Linked DNA regions of Oreochromis niloticus. The protein of the gene in region 3 purifies or fractionates together with the protein of the main gene of each other region. This does not show direct contact. Links are inferred from orthologs where the notes say so. Each region holds a gene or a part of one and is shown on either strand. Other genes may lie near its edges. The genes, in order: atxn7l2a, taf10 and atxn7l3a.

Region 1 (3,752 bases), on a different chromosome or scaffold from region 3:
GTGCGTTTGTGTTTATTGAAATGATGTGACATCAGAGCTCGTGAACACATCCCCATCTCCTCTTTTCCAGCTTGTGTTTGTCAGTGACTGAAGGCATTATGAGTGGAAGCCAAACGAGAAAGTCTTAGATAAAAACGGCATGAACGTATTAGCAGAATTATAAGTCAGTAAAGACCTTTTAGCGGCTGATAGCCATCCACTTCTTCCCCTGCTGCTTGTCACAAATAAACTCCCCAGAGTTCAAAATGCTGTTTTTCTTCTTTCTGGGTCAAACAGTATGTATGTATGTGCAAGTCAATATCCCACCCCAGGAGCAAGTACAGGTATACAGGATGATCACATGACAGTCCTCAGCCAGGCTCATCTAAATTCACCCGACTGGTGACCAGAATGCATCCGCTGCCCTGACCAGCGGCCGGCCAGTCAGCCTCATGGTGGTCTTAATAACAAGCTGGCTGTTTTCATGCATCCGCAGCACAAACACATATTCACACGCAGCCACACGCCAACATGTCGGTATGTGGAAGCTAATAACTGTCAGTAAAAGTTTGCCAAACAAACGTTTTCAAGTTCACCAGACTGGACGTGGGCATTTTATAGAAGCTAACGCTATCGGGGCGCAGCCCTCGATCAAAGCAATTAGACAATGATGGAGGAGTGTCGATGAAAGGCTCAGCCTGTCGTCGGTAAAATCGTCCAGTCGCCCAACCTCAGTGTGCACTTTGTTACAAACAAAAACATATCCAACAAAAACCTTCATGAGAAATTCATTGACATAAAAATGGGATTGTAAATGATGGCATAAACTGGTGAGGTTCCTCCGATGTGCACCATGAGCAGGAGCTTGGTGCTAGCTGGAACCACGCTCACAGCCCGGTCAGGCTGGCCTCGATGGAAACACTGCAAAGCTTCATTTAGAACGATGAAGCTGGCGTGCATGTGGCAAACACTCACGCTCCAAAACACCGTCGTCACAGACTCGTGTTACAATGCACAGCATTACAAAGCATATGGCTTGTGTAGTGTTGTAAGCTGTTAATATAACTACAAAAGAGAAATAGAAATTTAAGCCAGTAAAAGTTGTTACATCACGATAAGCGATCTCAAACTCAGTGTGAGCTCCATGAAGACTCTTCATTGCTAAACTTTTGGCTTGACAAAACATTCTGAGTCTGGCCAAAGTAGTTGGAAAATAATAACCTTACATGAATCAATAACCTACTTTTTTTTTTTTTTAACCAAACCTCCATAGCAGATTCAAACTAAGAACAGTGGGGACTTCAGATCACCCTTGTTTGGCTCTTATGGCCTTGTGAGTGGAGTGCTGCAAACTTCCTGAGTTATGGTGTCATGTTCTCATACACACAGAATAGCATTCAGCATGTGTATTTGCAAAGGTCTCCACGAAGCAGACGTGTGTTTGTCAGAAAAGCTGAATCTATAAGTATGAGGCATGTGTTCTCATGTTTCTAACCTGCACAGCCGGCTGCTTATTGTCAGCGGTGGTGCACACTTACCCTCTTTACTGAGTGACATTGCCTCTGCAGCCTTTTTGCCATTCTTATTGCAGTCATCCACGTCAGGCCCTGAAACACATGTTCAAGACAGCCACTGTCAGCTGTGATGTTGGCCACAGTATCATCATTAGCAATACAAAGACTCATCTTACATCACACATAGCCCATATTAATAAGCTGTGTTATGTAAGTGACTCATTTACAGATCAACCGTTTCTCCAGGAATTACTCGGAGTCCAAGTATACCATCAGCAGGGAGCAGCTAATGGCACTGGGTGGTGGGGGAGACTATCTGACAGAGCAGCACTGGAGAAACGCCAAACAGTGAGTGAGCGCACAGAGGTAAAGCTAGCAAGAACACTGTGGGCAGAAGCCACATATATGAGGAATCGTAAGGCGAGTCCATCATTGTTTAGAAAACGAAGGAAGCGAAGTGGAAACGACACACAAAATGTTTCCTTCTATCACAGGCTGGGCCAGCGGTGCAAAAGCGTCAGACTCCTCCTCCGTCACCGGCGTCTGCTCTGAATCCGGCTGCTGCTAGCGTTAGCATGCTAATGCTAACTACCTCGTCGCCACCGGCTAGTCGGGCTCGCATGGTAGCTTGTATCCTCGCTTTCCACGGCCAGCCATCCACACTAGCCTCCTTCCGCTCTGATGTCAGCCAGCCCTGCCGGGTTTCTCCACACGAATGGTCTCCCCTAAACGCTGCAGATTGTTTTATGACCACACAGGTGAAAATCACGCTACAATGACCGTGTCTTAACTATTATAATTTTTGTAACCTGGTGAAGACCAACATGTTACCCACCCAGCACTAGGACCCGGCAGGGTCTTTGTTTGGGTAACATGTTTAGCTCTGTCCTGCGTTTCCGCGAAAATAAACACCGCTGCTTCCGTTAAATGGCTCCGTACCGATCAGTGTTTGTGCCAGGGTGTTTCCTTACCATCCGCCGGCGTCATGCCGGCCCAATCGGCCCAGGCAGTCCAGCTTTGACCCACGAAATCATCGAGGCTAGGAACCCGCCGATCCAGAGCAGCCATTACTTTTACTGCGCGTTCACGAACCGCCATCATCACTGCGCGGCAAGCAACTTACGTCATTTCGCGTTCTCGACAGGAAAGGAACTTCCTGCGTGCGCGTGCTGGGGACACCCACACAAACAGAGGCAGAAGGCTTGGCTCTAGTCTCTCCCAGTTTTATACGGTGGAAATGACAGAATGTTATAAACACAGCACGCGCGTGTACATGGTTGAATGCGCATTGAAAACACGTAAAAAACATCACAGTTTTCACACGATCCGCTGCCACCTGCGGCGTGGTGAGGCACATAATCAATTGGTGGTCCACGACCCAGTTAAGGGACAGAGGCCATCTTTATGGTGCGGCCCACCCACTTTACCCCTCTGCATATCAGCCTCGCAGTAGTACTCCTCTATAATGTACCAAACAGCCTGGTTAAAGAGTCCTACAGTTCCATACCTGCACAGGTATGTTATCTGGAACAGCTGCTTTTCCACTCTTCATTCTGTTCACAGCTGCTGTTACTTTCATTGACAAATCATTTCGCCGTAGTTTTCATTAACCACCCTTTTCCTGACGAAGAATTGATCAAGTATTGGCACTTTAGTCTGTGATTAAAAACGGGATGAAAATGTTGTAGAGATGATCTTGTTGTGCAGAGACGCTCCCGTGCACATATGGACACATGTCACATTTGAAACCATGTGAGGCGAGTCACCAGTAAACACCACAGCCTGAATCAACTTTACACTGAGACATTTAGTCAACTCAAACTAAAAGAATTAGCTTTCAGAACTAGCACAGCGTAGCTGCCCTCACTTCCTCGTTACTAATCCTCTGAGCTTCCTCCACCTGCTTGTTGGGGGATGCACACTGACATTCAACATCACTCCTTTGATTTCCAGCTCCACAGTCATGATCCTGTCTGACACTTACCTTCACCAGACTATTTTAGATACTCTTCCTTCAAGATTTCTCCTACTCCATTTCACTTCCCATCCACACCATGATAGAACAGTTTGAACTTTGCTTGCTCTCTTCTGTCTCTTACCACATCAGCCAGCTCTCTCCCTGTAACAGTCCCTCACTGCCACACGCCTGCCTTTCCTTCTCTCTTGTTGCCTCTTCTTTTGTCTTCATCTAAGAGTAGCACATTTCTACTTGCACCCTGCTGAACAGCACCTGAGGTGATCATTGTTAACCAATCTAGT
Region 2 (3,752 bases), on a different chromosome or scaffold from region 3:
GAAAAACACCACACACATAAACCTCAGATTTTCTATGATCTTGTTCAGAGTGATCACAAAGCTGACATTAACGAGTCTTACAAGGTTAGAGATGTTGCATTTTGGTTAAAAGGTTAAAGCCAGTTTGTTTTAAGCAAATCTAAATCAGCCAACACTCCCTGTAACATCAGAAAGCACGGTGCAACCTAACTAATACAGCATTAAGATAAGAAATGCTGTATACCATTGGGAAATTCTTTAAATTATGACAATATAGTCATTTATTTGTGACTTCAACATGTTCCCATTGCCAGATTACATTAATTTCTGACTCATTCAGTGCCTTGAACTAAGGTTTTTATTGGTGAACTCATATTATATAAAGGCTTTTAAGTCAGCTGTTAAGTAAATTGGTGGCTATCAATCAAACCTCTGAACGTACCAACTATGAGCAGCCTTATGATTTGTGCTGTAATGTACTCCTCCATGTGTGCACACTGACAGATACAAAGCTGTTCCTAGTATACAATTTCTCAGTCTACCTAAAGGACACATGCACAGGTGGAGGTTTTTTACTGACATTACATTAGACATTACATTACACTGACATTAGAGCAGAATCGAGTGCATCTCACCCTCACATTTGCCTCTGATGACATTTTTTTTATCACTTAGATCCATGCATCCCTGCAGATGCCAAAAGATCTGAATACTACACTGCATGTACTCACATCCTTGGATCAGAAGCCTCAAAACCAGCCCGGTTGAGGTAGTAACCTGTGACTGCATCAGGAATCTGGTGGGAAAAAAACAAAAACAAAGAATAACTACTAATGTATATGTCACTAATATTATTAGTGCACATGTACCAATCAAGGACTGATTAAGAAACATTTCTGTCAAAAATGTGTGAAAGTATGATGTAGCGGGGCTAACTGACTTACCGTGGGAGTGTACTCTTCCAGCTGCATGAGGAAATCAGCCAGTGGCGTGGTGGAAACAGCAGGCTTCACATCTCCATTAGTGATGCCACCAGGAACATAGACTCCATTGGAAACAGATGTGTCTGCAGACGGTGTCACCACAGCTGATGAGGATGAAGCTATAAAAGACACATCAAGCAATGTCTGAGATAAACTTCTGAGATGCGAGGGAGATCAGACGAATTCTATGCATGGAAAAAAGAAAATAATTAATGCCATCTGTCTTGTCAGTCCAAAATGTGAACATTGGTATCATCAAAAGAGTGTAGCTGTGCATCCGCACCTAAAGGATAAGTTGTGGCTTTTGCTGCTTGGTTATTTGGCCAGTGGTGTTGAGGATTTTGGTAAAGTTGATGAAATTATAAACACACTTGAATAGGGTTAGATTTTGATATCCACCACAAAATACCATCTGGAAACAGTTTCATTTTTCAGCATGACAATGATGCCAAACACACTGCTAATGCATTTAAAAAAAAAAAAAAAAAAAAAAAACCTGGAAAGAAAAAATATACAATTAAGCACTATCAGTCATGGATCAGGATCCCAAAGACCAGACTTCAACTTTACTGAAACAGTCTTGGACCATCTTCACAGACAACAGAGCAAAAGGCAGCCAACATCCAAAGAAGCTTTAGATGTAATTCAAGAAGCCTGGAGAACTATTGCTAAAGAGTACTTAGAGAAGTAGTCTCCAATTTTTACATGAAAATTAAATCCATTTTAAGGATGGGGCCTAAGGGAACATCTTCCACCATCACTAATTCCCCAACTCTCTCTAAACAGTACTCATGGCCATTAATCAATGATCATGACAATTTGTATATTAGTAATCAGGAAACTGACCTAACAGTTAATCAGTTGCGGGACCCCACAGTCAGCTGAAACTGAAGAGGTCACTTGCATGAGTGACACAACATACCTCAACAGTCAGATAAATAGAATCAACTTTCTGTGACTACTTAAAGAACCTACAAGAAAGCTTGCCTGAGAGGATTCAAGGCCTTTTAAATAATAAAGGTGGTCATATCAAATATTCACTTTATTTTCAAGCTTGTTAGAATTGCACAAACTCTGTTTTTGCCTTATATACCAACATTTTTCAATGCACTGCACCCATTTCCAATTTTCCCTTGCAAAATATAAAGAAATCAGGGATGGCTTGAGACTTTTGCAAAGTACTGTACAAACAATCTAAAAAATTGCTACAATGGTTAAGTTAGTGCTACAGGCTTAACCTGAAACGTGGTACTTGGTAGGTTTTGTAATTAATATGTTTAAATCACTTTAAAGTGTTAGACGGCAATCTAACACTTTAAAGTGTTAGATTGCCGTCTAAAACCTACCTTAATGCATTACACTTTGATGCATTAAGGTAGGTTTCGCTGATGGTGTTTAGGTTAGTACGCGTTTCTCTCAGTCAGGCTTGGTATTGTTGTCAATAGTCAATGTACATCGTGGAAAGTTTCGACTTCCAGTGCGAGATGAAATCAGCAAATGCTCTCAGAATAATAACAAAGACAATAACAAAGTCACGTTACGTTACCATTACTCGTGACCGACGGGATGCTGCTCACGTTGGTTGTCGTATTATCGTTGGCAATGCAATTACTTGCCGTTGACGATGTGGTAGAAGGCACTCCTGTTGTTACAGACTGATTTACGTTGTCCATATTCATGCTGGCGTTAGCTAACGAGCTAACCGTGGTTAACTAGCACCGAAATATGCAAAACACCACAAATCCGCGATTTATAGCTGTAAGACAAGTATTCTACAAAATACTGTTTTAGTATAAGTCTACCCTTTCATTCAAAGAAATTAATTATCAAAACTGAAAAACTATAACTCGTAGCAGAAGTGTTTCTAAGACCTTTGCAGTAAAACGCTGAGCCACTACTGTTAGATCACGTCATGTGACATAGAGGCGTTCTCTTCTTCTATGTTGACTGCACACCGCCGCCTACGCCCCCTGCCGTAGCGGAGACTGTAGGCAATACATTAATACACTTTCTTTATATTTAAAGAATTTAATTCAGATTTGAATTTCACTAACTCACTGACCTGCATTGGACTCTTTTCAGAAGTTTTTACAGCCTTGCCAAGAGTAAATAGACGTCAACACATAATGACAGCAGCGATAAACAGCAAAATGACAACCTAAAGTCAATAAAGATGAACAGCAGCCATAGATGTTTTGTTGTTTGTTTGCAAAGTGCGATCTATTGAGATCTAGCGGTTAGATTGTACACACCATAGCTTTATAAACAGAGATTCACCGCTTCTCTTGTGAGAAGTGGCAGTTTACGAGGTGCACTGAATGCAGCAGAGCGATCTCGTGCACACTGCAGGGGGCGTTAAGGGATTGTCGGACATTTTCTCGGTTGATATTCTGGTTCGAAGAAGTGAGTCAGTCTTTCACTAGAGTGGACTGTCTGCTGGGCTCTGGACAAATTGTAGTCCTGTATTCATCTGACCAAAGCGGGAGACGGACGTTTGTGACAGTTGTATGGGACAAAACAGGTACTGTCAGGCTTTATAAACGTACAAGTACAATTCACCACAAACGCCGATTAACGACTTTCACAAGCTTCCTCTTATTCCCTGTTCAGTAATCACTCAGGGCTTGAATTGTTAGTTTAGTCCACTTTTAAATGATTGACAATTTTGTGCCTATCTCTGTGAGTTTAACGTGTTTACATATCGACGTATTAAGGGAAGTATAATGCATCTGTGGAGGACTGCTCAGGACTGCTCAACCTGTAATCTCACGATTATTTATTCTCTTGGGT
Region 3 (3,752 bases):
TCATGAAAATTGCTCACCGTCGTTAGAAGGGATCTGACTTCATCGGGGCCCAACGTTTCATAACTGATGCCAGTATTATAGTTGTACTGAATTTAAAGACAAAACATAAACCTTTATGAGTAAAGAATTTACTATACTTTATAGGCTAGCAATCAATTTGATCACAGGAGGATTTGTCACCTTGTAAGATTCAGCACCGACGCCACTTCCAATCTCACCTGGAATGCATACGCACAAACACACTGTTCATGTAATACATTGAGACTGCTAAAAGCACATCAAAGTTAAACTATAAAATCCATCTGCATCAAAAAGAAAAATATTCGCATTTCACTTTGAATTGTTCCCTCCACTTTGAGCTATGAACTTGGAAACTAGCTTAAAAAGTGAGATTAGCAGATGTATACACGCTGTGTCTTCACAGCGTGATCTGCAACAGTAGCTGAGCTCTGAGACTGCTCAAGTTCAAGCCTAAGAAATGTTTTGAATCGGTAACCCACATTCATCAAAACCTCTTCACTACACTTAAAAACAACAAAAAAAACAACAACAACCCGATAGACTCACCGTTTTTATGTTTCAGGGATTTGGATCTTCTTGGGGAATTTTGACTCTGCACAAACAAAAATGTTAAGATTAAAATAACCTTATAATACGCATGAAAAATTCATTTATACTAACAATGTGCAATTTAAAAAAAAAAACCTTATCTGACTTTCTCTTCTTGGCTGTAAAAAGGAAATAAGAAATGTTTATTTTAAGTAACCACCTGGAGATTTCTTTCATCTCTCAGTACAATGCAATCACTCAAGTGCTCACTTTTTTTTTCAGCCCCGTACGACCAGTCATTATCATTAAGGTCATCATTGTCTTCTTGATCACTTTCTGATTTGCTCATATTATTACTGCTGGCTAGCCTGTTTAAAGAAGATCAAACAATTGAATTAGAATTTCATGTATAACTTCGGATCACTGCAGGAATTTTTGCTTTACGACCTTCACTGACCGACCTGCGGTTGGCGATGCGGCTGCTGTTGCGTCCCATGCCGAGGCATTTCTCCAAATGCGGAGCAAAGCGAGAAGCTGCTATTAATCTTTTACAGTTGGGACACTCACACTCTTTGTTCTTCCACTGATTGTACACCTGCCCAAATATGTCCACTCCTGGTTGATCCACAATTTCTGGAAGGAAAAAACAAACAAACAAACAAAAAAAACAGTAAGCAAACACATTGAAGACAGACAGAATAGAAACCAGATGCAACAGCACCAACCAAACTCCTTCATGCTCTCTTGGTCCGTTTCATCCAAGAAGAAATAGCCCTGTTTCACCGCACGATGCACCTCAAAACACAGGCCCAAACAGGCATCTTCCACCAGCTCAGAGTAGATGTCATGGGCCAGGGCCTACAACAACAAAAACATAGTGTAACACCAAAAACAAACCCAATGTTATGTAAATGCATGGGTTACCTGTATGCACAGGTAATACCTCACCTCCAGCCTGGTGTTGTCTGGGCCTGAGAGGGGCATATCCTCCATTTTCATTTGAAAATCTCTATTGGAAGTCTTGACAGCAAGGTAATAAGATTGATATCTGAGGACTTAAAGAGATAGGATGGAAGTGAAATCACAGCATGCTTGAAAGGCAACAGATGTAAGGCACACAGATTCAAGATACCAGTCGCAAATAACATACTTTAAAAATATGTATTAGAACTTGTTCCAGGTCTATCTTCATCCTGTTGAAAAGAAGAAATAATCGCTCGTCATGTGCAAGATCACCACAGAAGGTTCATGTAAACATATGATAATTAGTGGTACAATCTGACCACTGTAACACCAAGCCTGAACTGAACATATCAGCACATATCAGCTACAACAACATCCTGATTTTCAAATTACTGGACATCACACACACAAAGGAATGTGGTTTTAACCATGCACTCTAACCAGCTTTAACATTACATGTGGTTGATTGAGATAAACAAGATACCTATGTATCCAACACGAAAGCTCAAAAATAGCTACATTTTACAAAAAATGTTCATTTAAACTACCTCACGAACGACTAGCTAACGTTAGTAGAACCTAAACGCAGGTAGTGACAGTTCCTTAGCAAATTAACTCCGGCTAATATCACCTTTCATGGTTTATATCTGCTGGCCCCACTGCTCTACTAATCTGAGCTGAAGGAAAGGCCTTTGTGGCATTCAAATACTAAGAAACAGTGTAGCGACGTTAGGTGTGTTTTAATTTCAAACTGTTTCCTCTTACCCTGTCATGCCGAAAACTCAGCCTGAACCGGGCAGTTTCTCTGAAGGAGGCAACATGACCGAGTCACTCCACATAAAACGCATTAGCAGGAGGCCCGGTCTTCAGCTACAGCCATTCTAATAACACGGGTAAAACAAAAAGCTCGATAAAAGTGTTTGCTGTCGCAGGTGTCGGTTAGCAAAACTGACGGTACGAGCGAGGAGGCCGACAAAGCATATAAACCAGCCAACTTCCGGTTGTAGCAATAAAAATAAAAGCTTAACCTGCAAATGTGAAGCGAGTTGCTGGAACTCGACAAAAAGGAAAAAAGAAAAAAGAGAATACAGTCCATATTGAAATCGGAAAAAGGATGGAGAAGAAGCTAATTTAATCATTCAAATGCTTGTAAAATAAATAAAATTAAAAGTAATGTTGCTACATTCAAAAATACCAATACACATCATTACTCATTTAATTTTTCCGTCACTTTTTGCTATATTAATGTGCATTTTTATATTAACAAGCAAGATGAAGAAAATGTATCTTAATTTTTTTTTAATCTAATCTTTTACTCTCTAACTGAAAGAAGAACAACATTTTAAAAACAATTGTTAACATTTTTATTTAGCCACATATCTTTAACAGTTAGCTACTTGCCAGAATGAATTTTCATATTTATTTTATAAGCTGTCGAACTCATTTAACATCACAGGGCACAAACAGCCCAATTTGAACTGTGAGGTATTTAAGTTTATAAATACGTTTATACTTTTACTTTGAAGGTACAGTTCGGATGTTTCCGCTTTCACAGCGAGGTTTCTTTCAGTTCAGACATCCATAAATGAACGCTAGATTTTCGCTCTTTATCTACAATCTGTTTGTAGAGCCTGGGCGGGCTGAATGAGGTCATCACTTCAACTATGCTAAATGACCGAAAGTATGTGGACACCTTAACATTACACCAGCATAGGATTACTGGACGACTAGCTCCAGCTACTTTTAAAACCCACAAGATTTTGGATTTTCTCCATCCCAGCTATGCTGGGTGAAGAGTTGGCCCTCCAGTTTATCTTTTATGTGTTGGATTTGGTTAAAGTCAGGGATTCACTGGAGGCCATTTTTCCATTTCGGTAGAACTTGATGTACACCACCAGAGCAACATCTGACATGATGAGGTCCTGTTGGGGATTCTGCTTTACAACATTACATCAAGGTTTGAGTAATACTTCAGTTTAGTCATATGTAGCAGAACTACATTTGGGAATCATCAGACACCCCATGATATGATATTATCACAATACTTCACTCAACATCCAATATTTTTGCCATTTTTTTGCCAATATGGAAAAATTCAATACAATCAAAAGGTAGCCACACGTTTTTCTTGTAATGTCCTATTTTACTTATGCGACTGAGCCATTAGCTTCGTCAAGCCTAAGCGTCCACTCTTGGATGTTTTTTCGGTTGAGCCGATTTCATGCAAGAGAGATGAGCCC

What was found.
Region 1: the proteins of atxn7l3a (region 3) and atxn7l2a purify together in Homo sapiens (affinity purification with mass spectrometry; 5 studies listed by BioGRID and IntAct, counting the BioPlex papers as one, with this or other methods). This does not show direct contact. The link is inferred for Oreochromis niloticus from reciprocal best matches to the Homo sapiens genes ATXN7L3 and ATXN7L2.
Region 2: the proteins of atxn7l3a (region 3) and taf10 purify together in Homo sapiens (affinity purification with mass spectrometry; 7 studies listed by BioGRID and IntAct, with this or other methods). This does not show direct contact. The link is inferred for Oreochromis niloticus from reciprocal best matches to the Homo sapiens genes ATXN7L3 and TAF10.

What each region holds. Positions count from the first base shown.
Region 1 is NC_031970.2:39,528,957-39,532,708, forward strand, and holds the start of atxn7l2a (ataxin-7-like protein 2a), read right to left. Parts: upstream 2,684-3,752; 5' UTR 2,595-2,683; coding exon 2,465-2,594; intron 2,307-2,464; exon of another isoform or gene 2,086-2,306; intron 1,587-2,085; coding exon 1,518-1,586; intron 1-1,517.
Region 2 is NC_031984.2:24,229,888-24,233,639, forward strand, and holds the start of taf10 (transcription initiation factor TFIID subunit 10), read right to left. Parts: upstream 2,897-3,752; 5' UTR 2,642-2,896; coding exon 2,509-2,641; intron 1,082-2,508; coding exon 924-1,081; intron 776-923; coding exon 711-775; intron 1-710. Other genes in the region: uncharacterized protein zgc:154075, read left to right, coding at 3,470-3,483. UniProt on the Homo sapiens protein: The TFIID basal transcription factor complex plays a major role in the initiation of RNA polymerase II (Pol II)-dependent transcription.
Region 3 is NC_031969.2:28,393,633-28,397,384, forward strand, and holds the start of atxn7l3a (ataxin-7-like protein 3), read right to left. Parts: upstream 2,511-3,752; 5' UTR 2,286-2,510; coding exon 2,278-2,285; intron 1,743-2,277; exon of another isoform or gene 1,700-1,742; intron 1,605-1,699; exon of another isoform or gene 1,598-1,604; coding exon 1,498-1,597; intron 1,408-1,497; coding exon 1,275-1,407; intron 1,183-1,274; coding exon 1,011-1,182; intron 918-1,010; coding exon 820-917; intron 729-819; coding exon 706-728; intron 614-705; coding exon 568-613; intron 219-567; coding exon 181-218; intron 87-180; coding exon 18-86; intron 1-17. UniProt on the Homo sapiens protein: Component of the transcription regulatory histone acetylation (HAT) complex SAGA, a multiprotein complex that activates transcription by remodeling chromatin and mediating histone acetylation and deubiquitination.